3 linked regions of the Ovis aries genome follow. The protein of the gene in region 1 interacts with the protein of each later gene in a pairwise test. Links are inferred from orthologs where the notes say so. Each region holds a gene or a part of one and is shown in the gene's direction. Other genes may lie near its edges.

The links.
Region 2: the proteins of RGS19 (region 1) and GNAI2 interact in a two-hybrid assay, tested with the Homo sapiens proteins (2 studies listed by BioGRID and IntAct). The link is inferred for Ovis aries from reciprocal best matches to the Homo sapiens genes RGS19 and GNAI2.
Region 3: the proteins of RGS19 (region 1) and GNAO1 interact in a two-hybrid assay, tested with the Homo sapiens proteins (2 studies listed by BioGRID). The link is inferred for Ovis aries from reciprocal best matches to the Homo sapiens genes RGS19 and GNAO1.

The regions. Positions count from the first base shown.
Region 1 is NC_056066.1:53,495,555-53,500,831, forward strand, and holds the start of RGS19 (regulator of G-protein signaling 19), read left to right. Parts: upstream 1-1,743; 5' UTR 1,744-2,411; intron 2,412-4,055; 5' UTR 4,056-4,198; intron 4,199-4,935; 5' UTR 4,936-5,012; coding exon 5,013-5,042; intron 5,043-5,249; coding exon 5,250-5,277. UniProt on the Homo sapiens protein: Inhibits signal transduction by increasing the GTPase activity of G protein alpha subunits thereby driving them into their inactive GDP-bound form. Binds to G-alpha subfamily 1 members, with the order G(i)a3 > G(i)a1 > G(o)a >> G(z)a/G(i)a2.
Region 2 is NC_056072.1:50,152,664-50,157,243, reverse strand, and holds the end of GNAI2 (guanine nucleotide-binding protein G(i) subunit alpha-2), read left to right. Parts: intron 1-416; coding exon 417-545; intron 546-930; coding exon 931-1,060; intron 1,061-1,145; coding exon 1,146-1,299; intron 1,300-1,667; coding exon 1,668-1,858; 3' UTR 1,859-1,882; intron 1,883-2,548; 3' UTR 2,549-3,560; downstream 3,561-4,580. UniProt on the Homo sapiens protein: Guanine nucleotide-binding proteins (G proteins) are involved as modulators or transducers in various transmembrane signaling systems.
Region 3 is NC_056067.1:23,771,199-23,775,707, reverse strand, and holds part of GNAO1 (guanine nucleotide-binding protein G(o) subunit alpha), read left to right. Parts: intron 1-1,112; coding exon 1,113-1,241; intron 1,242-2,903; coding exon 2,904-3,033; intron 3,034-4,509. UniProt on the Homo sapiens protein: Guanine nucleotide-binding proteins (G proteins) function as transducers downstream of G protein-coupled receptors (GPCRs) in numerous signaling cascades.

The DNA.
Region 1 (5,277 bases):
CCCACCATGAAGGCAGCCTTGGTCCGGAGAGAATAACTGGGAAAGTAGCCGAGGACATTGCTGCAGGGCCTGGAGGAGGCTTCTGCTACGAGAAAGCAAAGCATGCAAGCCACAACCCAATGACTGGAGGCTATAAGGGATTGGGATGGGAGGCGAGGCGTCCCCAGGGCTGGGAGCTCATGCTCTAGACAGAGGGTCCTGGGTCCAAATCCCACCCCCAGTGTTACCCCAGGAGAGACATACGCCTACCCCCACCACATCCAGCTGCCCCACACATCTCAGGATGCAGGTGGAGATGCCATGTCAAGCATCACAGCATGAGCATGGCTGTTTGGCCTGGACTAAGTGTTGGCCCATCTTTGAAGGCCTTACCTCCTGGGACAGTTATCTAGGCTATATAAGAAGCAGCCACCTCCCATCTGGGTAGGCTTCTGGCCTCTGCTCCAGCCCAACCAGCCTGTCAACATGACAGCCAAGTCCTCCAAGGACACAGCATAAGAGGCCCCCCAGCCTTCGGGGCCTCTCCCTCCTCTCTGGCCTTGGCCTGCACTCTCTCCAGCTCAGCTCAGCTCTCTGCTGGCTCCAGTTTTATCCTTTGCCAAGCAAGATGCAGGTCTGAAACACCCGCTCTCTGCTCTGTGGTTCTCCTTAGCCCTCCTCACCTCTCACCCAGTCTGCAAGTCCATTTCTTGTCTGCTCTATGGCTGGTCTGTTCTGCCCACTGCCAGGTCCCAAGGCTGACATGTAGAGAACACCCAGACATTTGCAGGATGAAGACAGTATGTAAATTCTCCCCTTCCCTTTATATCCCCAAGAGCGCTGAAAAACGCGAGCATATACAACTTTGTGCAACTGGAAGGCATTTTGTGAGCAGGCCCAGGGACCAAGGGACATGAGCTGTACACACTCTGAGGCCAGGGGACTCAGACACTCTGCAGACCACTTTCAGAGCAGGGTCGGGGCCGTCCAAATACGGGCCCAAAGCATGCTGGGATAAGGAATTTAACTCACATCTGTACCGAGTCATAAAATACGAGATTTGGCCAAAGAGAAGAGTCAGGCATTCCTGGCAAAGGGGAGAGTGTGGCTTTAAACTTTAGAACATTTTGGGGCAACTGGAAGGGTTGAAAGGGACTCAGCCGGCCACGCGGACAGGGACTTTGGCGACCCCGGATATAAGAACCATTGCCCACCCCTCACCCCGCCCCAGTGGCGCCGCAGCCCAGGAACCGCCTTCCTTGGGAAGGCCCTACAGCACGGTGACTGACAGCACGCCCTTGACCGCGTTTCACAGCTAAGGATACTCCGTGCCAGAGCCTAGGGACGGCTCGGGAGTGACCACGGGGTCCAGTCCTTTCCAGCCGCCTCTCCCTTCCTCAAGAGGGGCAAGCAGCCCACGGAGTCGCCCCCTTCCACCCCCCTACCCCTGTAACGGCAACGCTGGACTGGCCCCGCCGAGAAGAGCTGGAGGCACGGCCACACCCCCAGCTGCCGCAGTACCACTTCAGCCGCTCCGGGAGCCAGAGGCCCCAGCATCAGCACCTCATCTCCACGGGCCACTCAGCGACAATGGGGACCCAGACGCCGCGCGCGAGCGGTGGGGAGGGGGCGGGTGGGGCGCGGAGCCGGCAGAGCTCGGGGCGGGGCGCGCCGGGCGGGGCGGGCCGGGCCGGGCACCTCCCCGCGCGAGGAAGTCCCGGCCCCGCGCTTTGGGGAAGTGCGGCCGAGGCGCCTGCGCACTGCAGCCTGCGCCCGCTCCCCGACGATCCGGCCGGACCTCGGAACGCGCGGGCCGGCGGCTGAGGCGCGAGCGGCTCGGGAGCGCGGCCGGTGAGTGCGCGCGCGCGGCGCCCAGGACGGCAGCCCTGCCCCTCCGGCCCGGGGCCCGTGGGCTGTGCGGGGCGGGAGCTTCGGTAACCGGCGCCCAGATCCGCGCCCCAAGGACTCCCGCCGAGGGGTCCACGTGGACCCTGGGCCGCGGCGGGACTGGATGCAGTCCCCGCGCGTGGGGGAGGGGGCGTTGCAAGCGGGTTCCCCTTTTTCTGCAGCTCAAAGCCTGGGGAAGTGATTGCTCAAAGTGGGGGGGGGGGGCCGGAAGAACCCAGGTTTCCGCGTCTCCCGTCCCCCCTTCAGCCTGGTGGGGAGGGGCCGAGGCGGGACACCCGTACTGCCCCCGCCCCCACCCCGCTGGATCTGGCAGTCAGTCATCCCCGCCAGTCGGAGGGGAGGCGCTGCGCCCCCGGCCCGAGCTGATCGGGGGCTCCTGGCGCCAGCCTCGCTCCAGAACGCGCAGGAGGACCTCCTGCCGTCTGACTTGAGTCCTGCTGCTGCAGTGCACGCCCCTTCGGCAGCCAGGGTGGGGCCCAGAGCGACCTGGCCCCTCCCGCCCCCACCTCGCCTTTGGGTCGCTGGTGAGTGGGGCGCGTGGCGAGTTCCTTGAGGGTAGGGTGGGGGCGTCAGAGGCCGGAGAAAGGGGCAGACTTCCCCAGGCCAGACCCTATTAGCCGAGAGAAGGAGAGAGAGAAGTGGGTTGCCCCTGCCATTGCAGAGGTGGGCTGGGGCGAGGGTCACCAGGGCTAGGAAAATTGGCCTGCCTTGGAGCCGCTAGGCTGGGACGTCCCTACCAGCCCAGTGGTGGAGGGCCGGGGGCGAAGCAAACAGGAAAGGTGCTGAGGAGGATGAGAAGAGAATGGAGCCCCTCTGGCAACCCCCCTCACAAAGGTTATGGCATTTTTTCCTGGGATTGTCACATTTTCTTATTCTTTTTTTGGACTGGGCGGGCTCGGGGACGTTCTTTTTCCTTCTGTGGAGCAGAGCAGCAGCTGCTCCCGAGGGAACCTCTGTCCCCAGAGGCCAGACTTACTGCCCGTCCAGCTTCTCCCATCCTAGACTTAGGGGCCAAAGCCTGGATGGGGCTGGGGAAGAGGAAGGAGCCCCCTTCCACATGCCCGGATGAGGGGCAGGAGCCCTGATTCTGATCCTGTAACCCCACTAGGAGAGAGAGCAGGTGCCCCAGAGGCATAAGTGGTCCCAGCCGGCCTGGGGATGGTGCAGGGAGCCAGGTTCAGGGGTGGGCGACAACGTCCAGGGCCTACAACCAGGGCAGAGGGGCGGCCTCTCCCCATCTCTGCCACAACTCAGCCCCCAGCACCTGGGCGCAGCACTCTCAGGCAGGTCCCCTCCTCCAGTTCAGAGCTGATTTGGAGAAGGCAGCCTAGGGAGTTTAATCTTCAGGGAGCTAGGGGGTGGTGGTGGGGGGAATTGGGGCCCTGCCCCCACTCACAGTGGGTGGAGATGCTGAGGAGGAAGAGCCGCTCTGCCTGGGGAAGTCACAGCCCGGCTGGGGTACAGCTACCAGACCTCAGAGGTTGCCACACCCCTTCCTTTCCCTAGAAACTTGACCCCTGCGGGAAGGCAAGCTGTGGGGCTGCTGTTTCCCCATCTTGTCTGTTTGCTGGAAGCTTGAAGGTCCACCTTCCCATGCTCCAGGGGAAGCCAGGCAGGCAGCCAAGGGCCAAGACCCCATGGGCCCCTCCACCTGGCCCCCAGATCCGGGTCAGGGCAGGGGCCTCTGCATGCTCAGACTCTGGAGACAGGGGTGCCCTCAGCGTGCATGTCTCGGGCTGTCATCCCTGGGCACCAGCACCTGGCCAGGAGATGGGACGCCGGGGTTGCCCAGCCTGCGACCGTCCTGGGGCCCGTCCTGCAACATCGTTTTCCTCTCCTGCCATCGCAGACCCCAAGAGGCCAACTGAACCAAACAGGCACTGAAAAGCCAAAGCTGAGGAATGGGGGGCGTGGGGGGGGGGGGAGGCAGCAACTGAGAGAATGTTCATTTAATGAGAAAATAAAGTGAAACCAAGTCGTGAGTCTCTCGCGGCGGGGTTTCAGAAGGTCCGCGCCCCAGACGCGCCAGGGGCCGCCCCTACCCCGGGGAAGGGGGCGGGATGCCTCACCTGGGCCGAGGTGGGGGTGGGGTGAGGGCAGGTGGGAAGGCGTTCAAAACTGCCTCCTGGAGCCTGATTGGCCGCCCTCGGTCCCTGCGTTCCCAACAGGGGCCGCTCATCCGGGTGGGACTGAGCACCCTCCGCACGCCCGCACTGCAGAAGGGGAAGGTTCGCCCCGATGCCGCTCCGAGCGGAAGGGACCCCGCGGCTCCTACCCGCCCGGGAGCAAGACGCGCCACCGCCCGCCTGCGGCAAGGCCTGGGGCCGCAGCGGTTTCCGTAGCCTGGGGGTGGGGAGGGGAAAGGAGGCTGGGAGACCCGGAGGTGCCAGTCGAAGGTTGGGTGCGGAGCCAGCGTCCGGGCTGAGAAGGCGGCTGTGCCTGCTGCACTGCCCGCACCTTCAGGACGCCCTGCCTCAGCCCCAAGCCCTACTCCAGTGCTCCGTGCCACAGGCCTGGTCTGCTCCCTCTGCGGAGTCCCTGGGAGTAGGCGGGGGGCCTCCAAGGCCCCGCAGCCCTTCTGAACTCCTGGTGGGAAGCAGCCTCCCCACCTCCCACCACCCATCCCCTGGAAAACCTGGGAGGGAGGTTCTGAATGTCTACCACCACCCCTGAGAGCCTCAGACTCAGACTCAGACTCTGGGGGCCTGCAGCCCCCTGGGAGGGGCCAGGAGCCGGAAACCAAGAAAGAGGAACCCCTGCTTCCGGCTTCCCAGGGAGGGAGCAGATGGGGGTGTCCCAGAACCTCCTGTGGAGAGCTTGTCTGGGGTCTCCTCCTTCCTGATCCCCATCCCCTCACATCTTCTGTGTAGACTAGAGTGGGGGTTGGGCCTGGGCAGAGTAGTCTAGAGGTGGGAGGTGGGAGGCGGAGGAGAGTCCGTGGAGGTGGGAGGCCAGGGAGGCAGGTAGGGAGAGACTCAGAATGCCTGGCAGGGTGCCGGCCAGGGCGGGTGTAAGGTTCTCAGTGAGAACCCCGGCCTCTCTTCTCAGACCCCCAGGCTGTGGTGACAGAAACAGGTGTCCTGGAATAGGCACCACGGAGCCCTGGCAACCTCCTCCACCCATCCATGCCCACCCCACCTGAGGCTGAGAAGCAGGTGGGCTGCCTCCACCCTGGCCGCTGCCCCTTGGGGGGTGGGGGGCTAAGGGCATGACTAGGAGTTCAGAGACCCATGGACATCTGGGAGGCCACAAGGGTCATAGCCCTGGGAGGGAGCATGGCCTCCGGTGGGCAGTTGGGGCTGGAAAGCGGGTGGTAACCATGGGCTTTGCCTGGAGGCTGAGGCAGCCCTGTCTTCCCCCAGCAAACAGGGCCAGAGGAGGCGGACCAGC
Region 2 (4,580 bases), on another chromosome or scaffold:
CCTGCCTCCAACCTGGGTGCTGGGGCTTGGCTGGTTGGCCTCAGAGTTGCCCCCCGGCTGAGCGGTAGATGCCATGCAGGCAAGGGTTAAGGAGTCAGGGGCCTGTGTGAGATAGAAGCTAGTGGGAGTTTGCTGGAAGACCCCAGGGAACTCAGACCTTGGGGCTCGCTAACAACCTAGAGGGGTGGGATGGGGAGGGAAGTGGGAGGGATGTTCGAGTGGGAGGGGCACAGGTAAGCCTATGGCTGACTCATGTTAGTTTGGTAGAAACCAACTCAATACTGTAAACCTATTATCTTTCAATTAAAAATAAGCAAAGAAGAGTCAGGAGCTATGCCTGAGAAATAAAGGGACGGAAGGGCAAGGGGCCAGTTGGCTCCCACTGATGCCCCCCCCACCCCCATACCCCTTTGCAGCTACCTGAACGACCTGGAGCGCATCGCCCAGAGCGACTACATCCCTACGCAGCAGGACGTGCTGCGGACTCGAGTGAAGACCACGGGCATCGTGGAGACGCACTTCACCTTCAAAGACCTACACTTCAAGTGAGCGGGCTTGTGGGCTGGGAGCAGCCAGCCTTGGGGGTGACGGGTAGAGATCCTCACATTGGGGTCTGCTGAGGGCTGTGCTGGGAAAGAGGGTTCATCTGGGATCCCCCAGCCCCACTCTGAGTTCCTTAAGGCTGTGTGGTGGCCAGGAGCTCACAGCCTCTGCTGACCCTGCCCCGTGTGGCAGCCATCTGCCCTGCTAACCAGCCTCACTCACTCCGCTGGGCCAGAACTGGGGGAAAGTGGGCCAGTGTGGGTGATACCATGGAGGCAGCTGCCTTACCCTGAGCAGGCCTCTGTCCTCAGTCTGTCAGTCCATGAAACGGGGCAGGGGGCTTCTCCCAGAACTCCCTTTTCTGGAGCTGAGGCGCTGTGTCTGCAGGATGTTTGACGTGGGCGGCCAGCGGTCTGAGCGGAAGAAGTGGATCCACTGCTTTGAGGGCGTCACAGCCATCATCTTCTGTGTAGCTCTGAGCGCCTATGACCTGGTGCTCGCCGAGGACGAGGAGATGGTGAGAGGCCCAGAGGCCACGGGCAAGGGAGCGCTGGGGGAGGTGTGGGAGGTGGCTGGTGCTGAAAGCGCTGTCCTGCCCCCAGAACCGCATGCACGAGAGCATGAAGCTGTTTGACAGTATCTGCAACAACAAGTGGTTCACAGACACGTCCATCATCCTCTTCCTGAACAAGAAGGACCTGTTTGAGGAGAAGATCATACACAGCCCCCTGACCATCTGCTTCCCTGAGTATACAGGTGTGGGATCTGGGCCTCTGGGGAGGAGCTGGTGGTGACCAGGTGGCCCACGGGTGCCCCCCACTGGACAGGAGGGTAAAGTGCGGGACACTCATACAGAGCTGGTGCTTCACAGGCTTACACACTTGTGTCTGTACATCCTAGGGCCCTTTTAACACACTTGGGCATGTACCCCATACACGTCACTGGGCATCGTCCCTCACACAATAAGGTGCCCCTCTTTGCACACTCAGATGTGCCTGTGCACTCTGACAGTTGTCACACATCCAGGCTTGTTGGTTCACACGCACAGAACCCTCTCTGGACTTGTGGGATGGGCCCGCCTGCCCACGTAGCTCGAGTCCTCACCATTTTGCCTACCCACCCAGGGGCCAACAAGTACGACGAGGCAGCCAGCTACATCCAGAGCAAGTTCGAGGACCTGAACAAGCGCAAGGACACCAAGGAGATCTACACGCACTTCACGTGCGCCACTGACACCAAGAACGTGCAGTTCGTGTTCGACGCCGTCACTGACGTCATCATCAAGAACAACCTGAAGGACTGCGGCCTCTTCTGAGGGGCAGCGGGGCCTGGCAGGATGGTGAGCCGGGGGGCGGGCCGGGAGGGCCAGGGAGGGCCACTGAGCCCGGCCAGGGGGCAGGGAGGGCCAGAGTGTCCAGCCGGGGGTGGCGAGCTCGGACCCCGGGAGAGACCAGAGCGCGGGGCATGGGGGGCGCAGGGTGTTGAGTCGGGAGGGTGACAGGGTAGGGCACTGAGGACGGGGCACAGGGAGGCCCGGCAGTCCAGACAGTAGAAGCATCGGGCTGTGTCCTGGGACAACTGGAGGGCTGTCCCCATTTTCCTTGGCGAAAACTCACGTTCCCACCCACAAGGCCACCGGACTGGCCTGAAGGATTGAGATGACAGAAGGGGCCCAGCCGCCCTCCACTCAGCACGACCAGCTCTGTGCTCACCTCTGCCATCTTTCCCTCGGACCCAGCTGAGGGTCCCGGGCTGAGGCTGGCCTCACCAGCCCCTGGGAGTGGTGGGTGGGGAGGGTTCTGCCAGAGCTCCAGTCTCCCCTCCCATTCATTCTTGAACAGGGGTTACAGTGTGTGTGTAACCCAGCAACATACACCAGCACCATGTCCCTGGTAACAAGTGGGTGGGGAAACTGGAGAAGGGTCATCGTCTAGGGAGGCGGGCAGAGAGACCCACACTGGCTACCTCCCTCCCGACCCACGCCCTGACTGTCCCCCACCTCCAGGGCCACCGCCGACTCTGCTACCCCAGCCCCTGCGGAAGACGGGGGCAAGAGGACCACGCTCCCCGCCTGTCCCCCTGGCCGCTTTTCCCCTTCTTTCCTCTCTGTTTTTGGCTCCCCACCGTCCAGCCCTCAGCTCCAGAGACTTGGGGGAGGGGCTGCCACAGGCCTCCCTGTTTGAAGCCTGCCCTTGTCCCAGGTGCAGGGAGTGCCCTAGCCCCTCCTGGTCTCCATTCTGGTTTTAACCATTGTTTTGTTCTGTGATGGGGGAGGGGAGCCCATGCTGAGTCTCCCACGGCCTGTGTTTGGAGGGGCACCCACTTCTCCAGCCTGGGACCCCTGGCTTTGCCCAACACCAGCCCCTGACCCAACCCGAGTCCAAATGTTTACAGGGAGCCTCCTGCCCACCCCCACAACCTGCCCCCACCCCCAAGCCACTCGGAGGCCCCAAAGGAAAAAGCACAAGAAGCGTGAGACGCCACCATTCCTGAAGACCACAGTCCACTTGTTCATTCTCGTAGCTTTTTTTTTTTTAATTAAAAGAAAGTCAAAGGGGGGGGAAAAAAAAGAAAACTGCAAACCTAGAAAACTTTTTAGAAAAAACTATTTAAAACTGTCAGATCCTGACCAGCACCCACCCAACCCCTTTCCGGTGATTCCGTGCCTTGAGTGTGTCTACGTGTTTACACCCATCCCTCTGCTGGTTGCCCCCTGTGCGGGTGGCACCCCGACCCTGCCCTCCACAGAATTGGGTTCCAAGGGCTGTTCCAGACAACTGCCAACATCACTGAGGGCCCCACCCCAGTGGCCCTGGGCCCTGGCTCCATTAACCTAAACGTAGCTCCTTAGCGCTAACCTAGGAACCGCCGCTGCCTGCTGAGGGGCCATGCCCCTCATGCCCTCGCCCCAGGCCCGGGTCCTTCAGCGTTGAACACTTCCTTGCTTTTTTCACATGTTTTATGGAATTGTTCACCTGGTTTGAAATAATAAAACGTAGAAAGAAAAAAAAAAAAGATTCCAAGACCTTCTTGGCATTCTTCTCTCCTGCAGGCAGAGACCCAGGCTTAGATGTGCTAAGGTGCTTGTGGTCTTGCCCTGGGTACTCAACTGCCAGGTCATACTGAGGCCCAGTACTCATCTCTTCAGTTTTCCCACTTGGACTAGTCATCTTAACGTGTTAGGGGCCTCTAGGTCCCCCCCTTGACCCCCAGCGCCTCTGCAGTCTTGGGTCTGGGGCAGCCTCCTGGAACAGTGGGGCCGATTTCTTAAGAAGCTCACCTAAGGGATTCTTCCACACTGGGAGCAGGAGTGTCCAGTGAGTCTCTGAGGCTTTCATGAAGCTATGGGAAGTGCTCGTGCGTTGCTGGAGGAGGGAGCGGCAGATGACAGTGACTGTGATCCACAGTGGCTGTGGGTGAACCCCAAGAGCCAGGCAAGGTCCCTGGACTTTTTCCCGGGAGCCGGCTGAGCCCGTGGGGAGGGGTCGGTGAAAGGCCCTCCTCTGCCGGGCGGGGTTCGTAGACGAGCTTTTCCACCGTCGGCCGCCAGAGGGCGCGGCAGTCCACGCTTGGCCCCGCCGGGCTGGTCACGGAGGCTGACGTCATCGGGTCCTGCGGAGGCCGCGGGCCACAAAGGCCGCTTTGTAGGGCGGCGGCGGGACAAAGCGGCCCGGGCCGGGGTCGGCGCCTCCGAGGCGGGAAGGGCGGGGCGGGTGGGAGGATAGGGCCGGGGACCTGGGACCCCGCCTCCGCACACCTGGCAGTCCCCTCTCGGCCTCTGGGCCCCCGAGTCCTGGCAGGCGATGAGAGGCTGTGGCCGCCCCCCTCGGAAGGAGTTCAGCGGCGCCCCCGGTCCCTCGGGCCTTTCCTGCTACCCCTGTCTCTGAGGGCTAGGGAGCACCAACTGACTAGGAGAACAGAATCCCACGCCCAAGCCTGCATCCCTTGCCTTCAGCAGTCAGCCCTGGACCTCGCTGAACCCCAGATGTGCGGGTGGGGCGCAGTGCGAGTTCCGATGCCCTGATATCCACCCAGCA
Region 3 (4,509 bases), on another chromosome or scaffold:
CACATCACGCCATGACTCAGACCCTCACGGTTGCTCCCTGTGGGCTGCATATGACTCCCCCTGCACAGGGATGGGTTGCCCAGCTGGCCCTGAGGGTCCCTGAATCTTCCTGCCAGTCTGAGCGAGCTCTCTGCTTCCTAGTTTCCTGGATCTCAACCTGACTTAGGGTTCAAACCTTAACCCGTACCAACCCCTAAAGCTTTCCCAGCGTGTGGCCTTGGAGGACCAAATGCACAGGCCAGGTCTGTCTCCAGGGCAAGTGATGGCATGGCAGGGGCCATGATGCCTAAGGTACCAGCGAGGCCCCGCCCCTGCCTGTCTGTGTGGCTTCTGGGCCTCCCTCCCAGGAGCATCAGATGGGAAGATGCGACAGCCCCCTGGTAAACCTGAGGAGTGTGAGAGGTGGGTGGAGGCGCAGAGGGCCTCTGGGAAGCACTGCAGGGTACTGTTAGGAGGTGGGATCCAAAACCCTGACTCAGGGCTGGGCCAGGCACTCACCTTCATTAGAAAACCTGAGTTTTCTAATCTAGGAAATAATACATTTACCTCAAGAAATTAAGGGTGGAACATGATAATGCGCAGAAAGACTAGAAGCTAACTTTAGCCCATCGTTATTTTAAGATGAAGAAATGACAGTGTTAGAAACACGTGTGTGCACGCTAGGCTGCTTCATTCATGTCCGACTCTTTGGGAGCCTATGGACTGTAGCCCACCAGGCTCCTGTGGGATTCTCCAGGCAAGACTACTAGGATGGGTTGCCATGCCCTCCTCCAGGGGATCTTCCCGACCCAAGGAACAAACCCGAGTCTCTTACATCTCCGCATTGGCAGGCAGCTTCTTTACCACTAGCACCACCTGAAAGCCCATAAACACATTAGTCTCATTGAAAAGCCTGACTTGTCTGAGTGAGGCTGAACTGTGTGCGAAGCCCTTGGTCTGAGTTAGAGGCTCTGAGCGCCTGAGGCCGGGACGCGGGCGTCTCTTCCTCAGCTCCGCCCCACACCTGGCCCTGGACAGGTGATGCCGTCCCTCCCTGGCTTGGGTCGGGGCTGGCACTCTGGGAGGGCAGTGCCCACACCTGGTCCACAGTCCCCGTGTGCTGCCATCCCCAGCTACCTGGACAGCCTGGACCGGATCGGGGCCGCCGACTACCAGCCCACCGAGCAGGACATCCTCCGAACCAGGGTCAAAACCACCGGCATCGTAGAAACCCACTTCACGTTCAAGAACCTCCACTTCAGGTGAGGGCCAGGGAGACTCCCCATCCCTGGAGAGGGTGCTAAGACACGGGCGACCCCTGCCTCCCAGCCTCAGCTCATCTGGAGCATTCCTGTCTCAGGGAGCTCTCAAGTTGGGACAAGCAGTTGGATGCGAGAAGGGACCTGTGTGTACCCCTCTTTGCCACCAAGGTCAGGGGCTGTGGTGAGCAGGGAGGCTTCCTAGAAGAAGCATCCTGGAGAGGGGCTCTGAGATACAGGGAGGATTCAAGTGGACAAAGGAGGGTAGTCCTGTCCCTGCCTGACTTCTGACGGGGAGGATGGTGGATCACCCAGGTGGTCTTTGAAGGCATGGAGGCGTGGGGGATAAGAGCGGGCGAACCTAAGCAACATGTTTTGTGTGACCCAAGGACCCATGTCATCTCAGAACTAGAAGGGGCTTGGAGATCAGCTGGCCCACCCTCTCCAGGTATATAGGGGAAACTGAGACCTGGAGGAGCAAGTCTGTTCCCGAGCACAGAACATAGCTCAGGCCCAGGGTCTGAGCACCGTAGGCCCTGCCAGGGTGTCATAGCACCACCTGGGGCAGCTTGCATGCCCTGAGGCCTGGGTGCCCCTAGCTGCCTCCAGCTGCCTCCTGGGTGTGGTTTCTGGGTGTTGGGTGGAGCAGGAGGAGAGGCCAGGATGGCCAGGACAGTAGACCAGTAGACTTGAGTGAGGCCACTGCCTGGCCCTGCCCAGCCTGAGGCCCAGCCCCTGCCTGCTCTAGTCCCTCAGTCTCTCCCACTTACCGATCAGGGCAGAGGGTGTAGAGCTGGGCTGGGGGCGCCTGGCCCGCAGCAGCTGAGAGTATGTGCTGTGGAGGGGCCTCAGAGACCATCACCAGGGCCCAGTATTTCAGATGGAGAAGCAGGGTCCAAGGGAGGTGGTGACGGGATGAGGACCGGACCTGTGTCCTTGCTCTAGGTCCGCTGTGGGCTTCGGCCTGTGGCTGTTCTCCTCTATCAGCGGGTTGGGGCCCTGCCCACCCTGGCAGCTGTGCGTCAGGCCTGGGATCTTCACTCAGGGCGTTAGATGTGAGGTTGACCTCGCACTTCCAGGACCAAATCCCCTCTGCCACCATCTCCCCTGACAGCTCTCATGCCCCAGGGGATGATGCTGAGAAGGGGTGAGGGAGGGCGGGCACAGAGCAGAGAGACAGACGTTGACAGCCAGACGTCTACAGACCGACGTTGGTCTCACCCCAACTCCTGCCGGCACCCTGCACTCAACCCCTTGCTGCTTCACTGGGCCTCCACGTGGGAGCTGCAGGTCCCTGCCCACCTCCCTCTGTGCCTCCCAGGCTGCTCTGGGGTTTCCCCGGACCACAGACGTGAACAGACATGCTCAGAAAGCTGGAGGCTTGCGAAGGCATGTCCAGCCGAGGTCACCCCTTCGCAACAGCGCTGAGATGCAGGGGCGGGTCTTGGCGTCGCTGTGTGGGGCACCACCCAGTCCCGGGGCAGAGCAGTGACGGCCACCCCACCCCGAGGGTGCCGTGCTCGGTCCTCAGCCCGAAGCGAGGCTCCTTGGGAGGCTTGCTGTGTGCACAGCAGCCTTCCTCCCTGACCCCGCAGCTCGACCAGTGTCCCCACACCTGCTGGGGTCTCCCTACCCCCACCCCCAGCTCTCCTGTCTTCCTGGTAGGCTGTTTGACGTCGGGGGCCAGCGGTCTGAGCGCAAGAAGTGGATCCACTGCTTCGAGGACGTCACGGCCATCATCTTCTGCGTCGCGCTCAGCGGCTATGACCAGGTGCTCCACGAAGACGAGACCACGGTGAGTGGCCCCAGCCCGCCCGGCCTCAGTGGCCCACGATGCCTCTCGGGCAGAGCCAGCTGCGGGGGTGGGGGTCCGTCCTTGGCTTGGTTGTTCCCACCTCTCTCCTGACTTCAGCCAGATGCCTCATGATGCCAGTGCAGTGAAGGCAGCCTTGGGCCCCCTGCCAGAGGCTATGTGCAGATGCCGGGGCACGGGCAGCAAGGGCCTCTTCAGTAAACACAGCAGAGTCGCAGAGGCCGTCAGGCCAGAACCAAGTTAAGCAAATCCTAAATGAAATCAGGGTGCAGTCAAGCAAGAATTTATGTAAGACAGAAATAGCAGTTCTTAGCTCCGACAGCCCTCCCTGAGCAGTGGGCAGGGCTGGCAGAGGGTTGGGCTGTGGGCCAGGGCTCATGGTGAGTGACAGGGTGGGGGGCACAGGCCCCTCCCCTGGAGGGCGCCAGCCCGGGTTCCCACCTTCCGTCTCTGCGTCTTCAGTCTGGGGCCTCGGAGAACTGCCAGGCTGAGGGGAACTTCAGAGGGGGGCCCTCTCTGCAGGGGGTGCTGCCTTTCTCTAGGCCTGGCCTTGGTTTGCTGCTGGATTCAGGGAGCACCCTCTCTATCTTAGGGGTGTAACCATCATACCCGCCTGGTGGGGTGTGGGCAGTGGGGTGAGAATCTTCAAGGACTTGGAACCGTCTCTGGCTTAGCAGCCCTGGGCTGGTGGTTGTGTCGTCCCTGAGGGTTGTCCTGAGCCGGGGTCCCACTGAGCTGCCCACAGAGAGGTGGGCCTGGTGGGGTCTCAGGAGACAAGCACCCGCTGAGGTGGGGCTTCTGGGCCGTGGGGTCACATCCTTGGCGATCGTTAGCTCCTGTGTGTGATGCAGGCAGGCACAAACCCCTGGCGCTGAGGTTTTGGGACTGGGCTTGTCAGGGTGGGCCTTGAGCAAGGCTATCTTCTTTCCGGGTCTGTCTCGTCGTCGGTCCTGCCTGCCGGTCCCACGGGGCTGCTACTGAGGTCTGCTGGGCTTTGGGGTGTGGTGGTATGGGAAGAGGCGCCGCCGTTCGGAGAGGTCGGGCTTATGCGGTGACGGTGCCATGGTTAGATGGGGCCAGAGCCACCGGCCGGGTGGGCCGTCAGCACTCGCGCCGCATGCTGACCTGTCGCCCTTGCCTTTTCTCCTTCGGTACCTGGAACACTTCCGAGCGGGGCATCAGCGGAACCCCACAAACCCTGCTGTGTTACGGGGCGAGGCTCTGGGACCCCAGGTGTGCAGCTCTTTCTAACGCTGGCACTGTTCTCAGTGGCCTCAGGAGCCGTGGTGTCTAAGACCCCCAGACCTGGACCTACTGACTGTCCCGAAGCCCAGCTCGGCTCCTGCTGCCCCCATAAGGCACCGCACACAGAGACCACCCCAGCCCATCACTCACTGATCCACTGTTGACCCTGCTTCTGGACCCACTGTTCACAGCCCGCTGGGCCAGCGTGTGGTC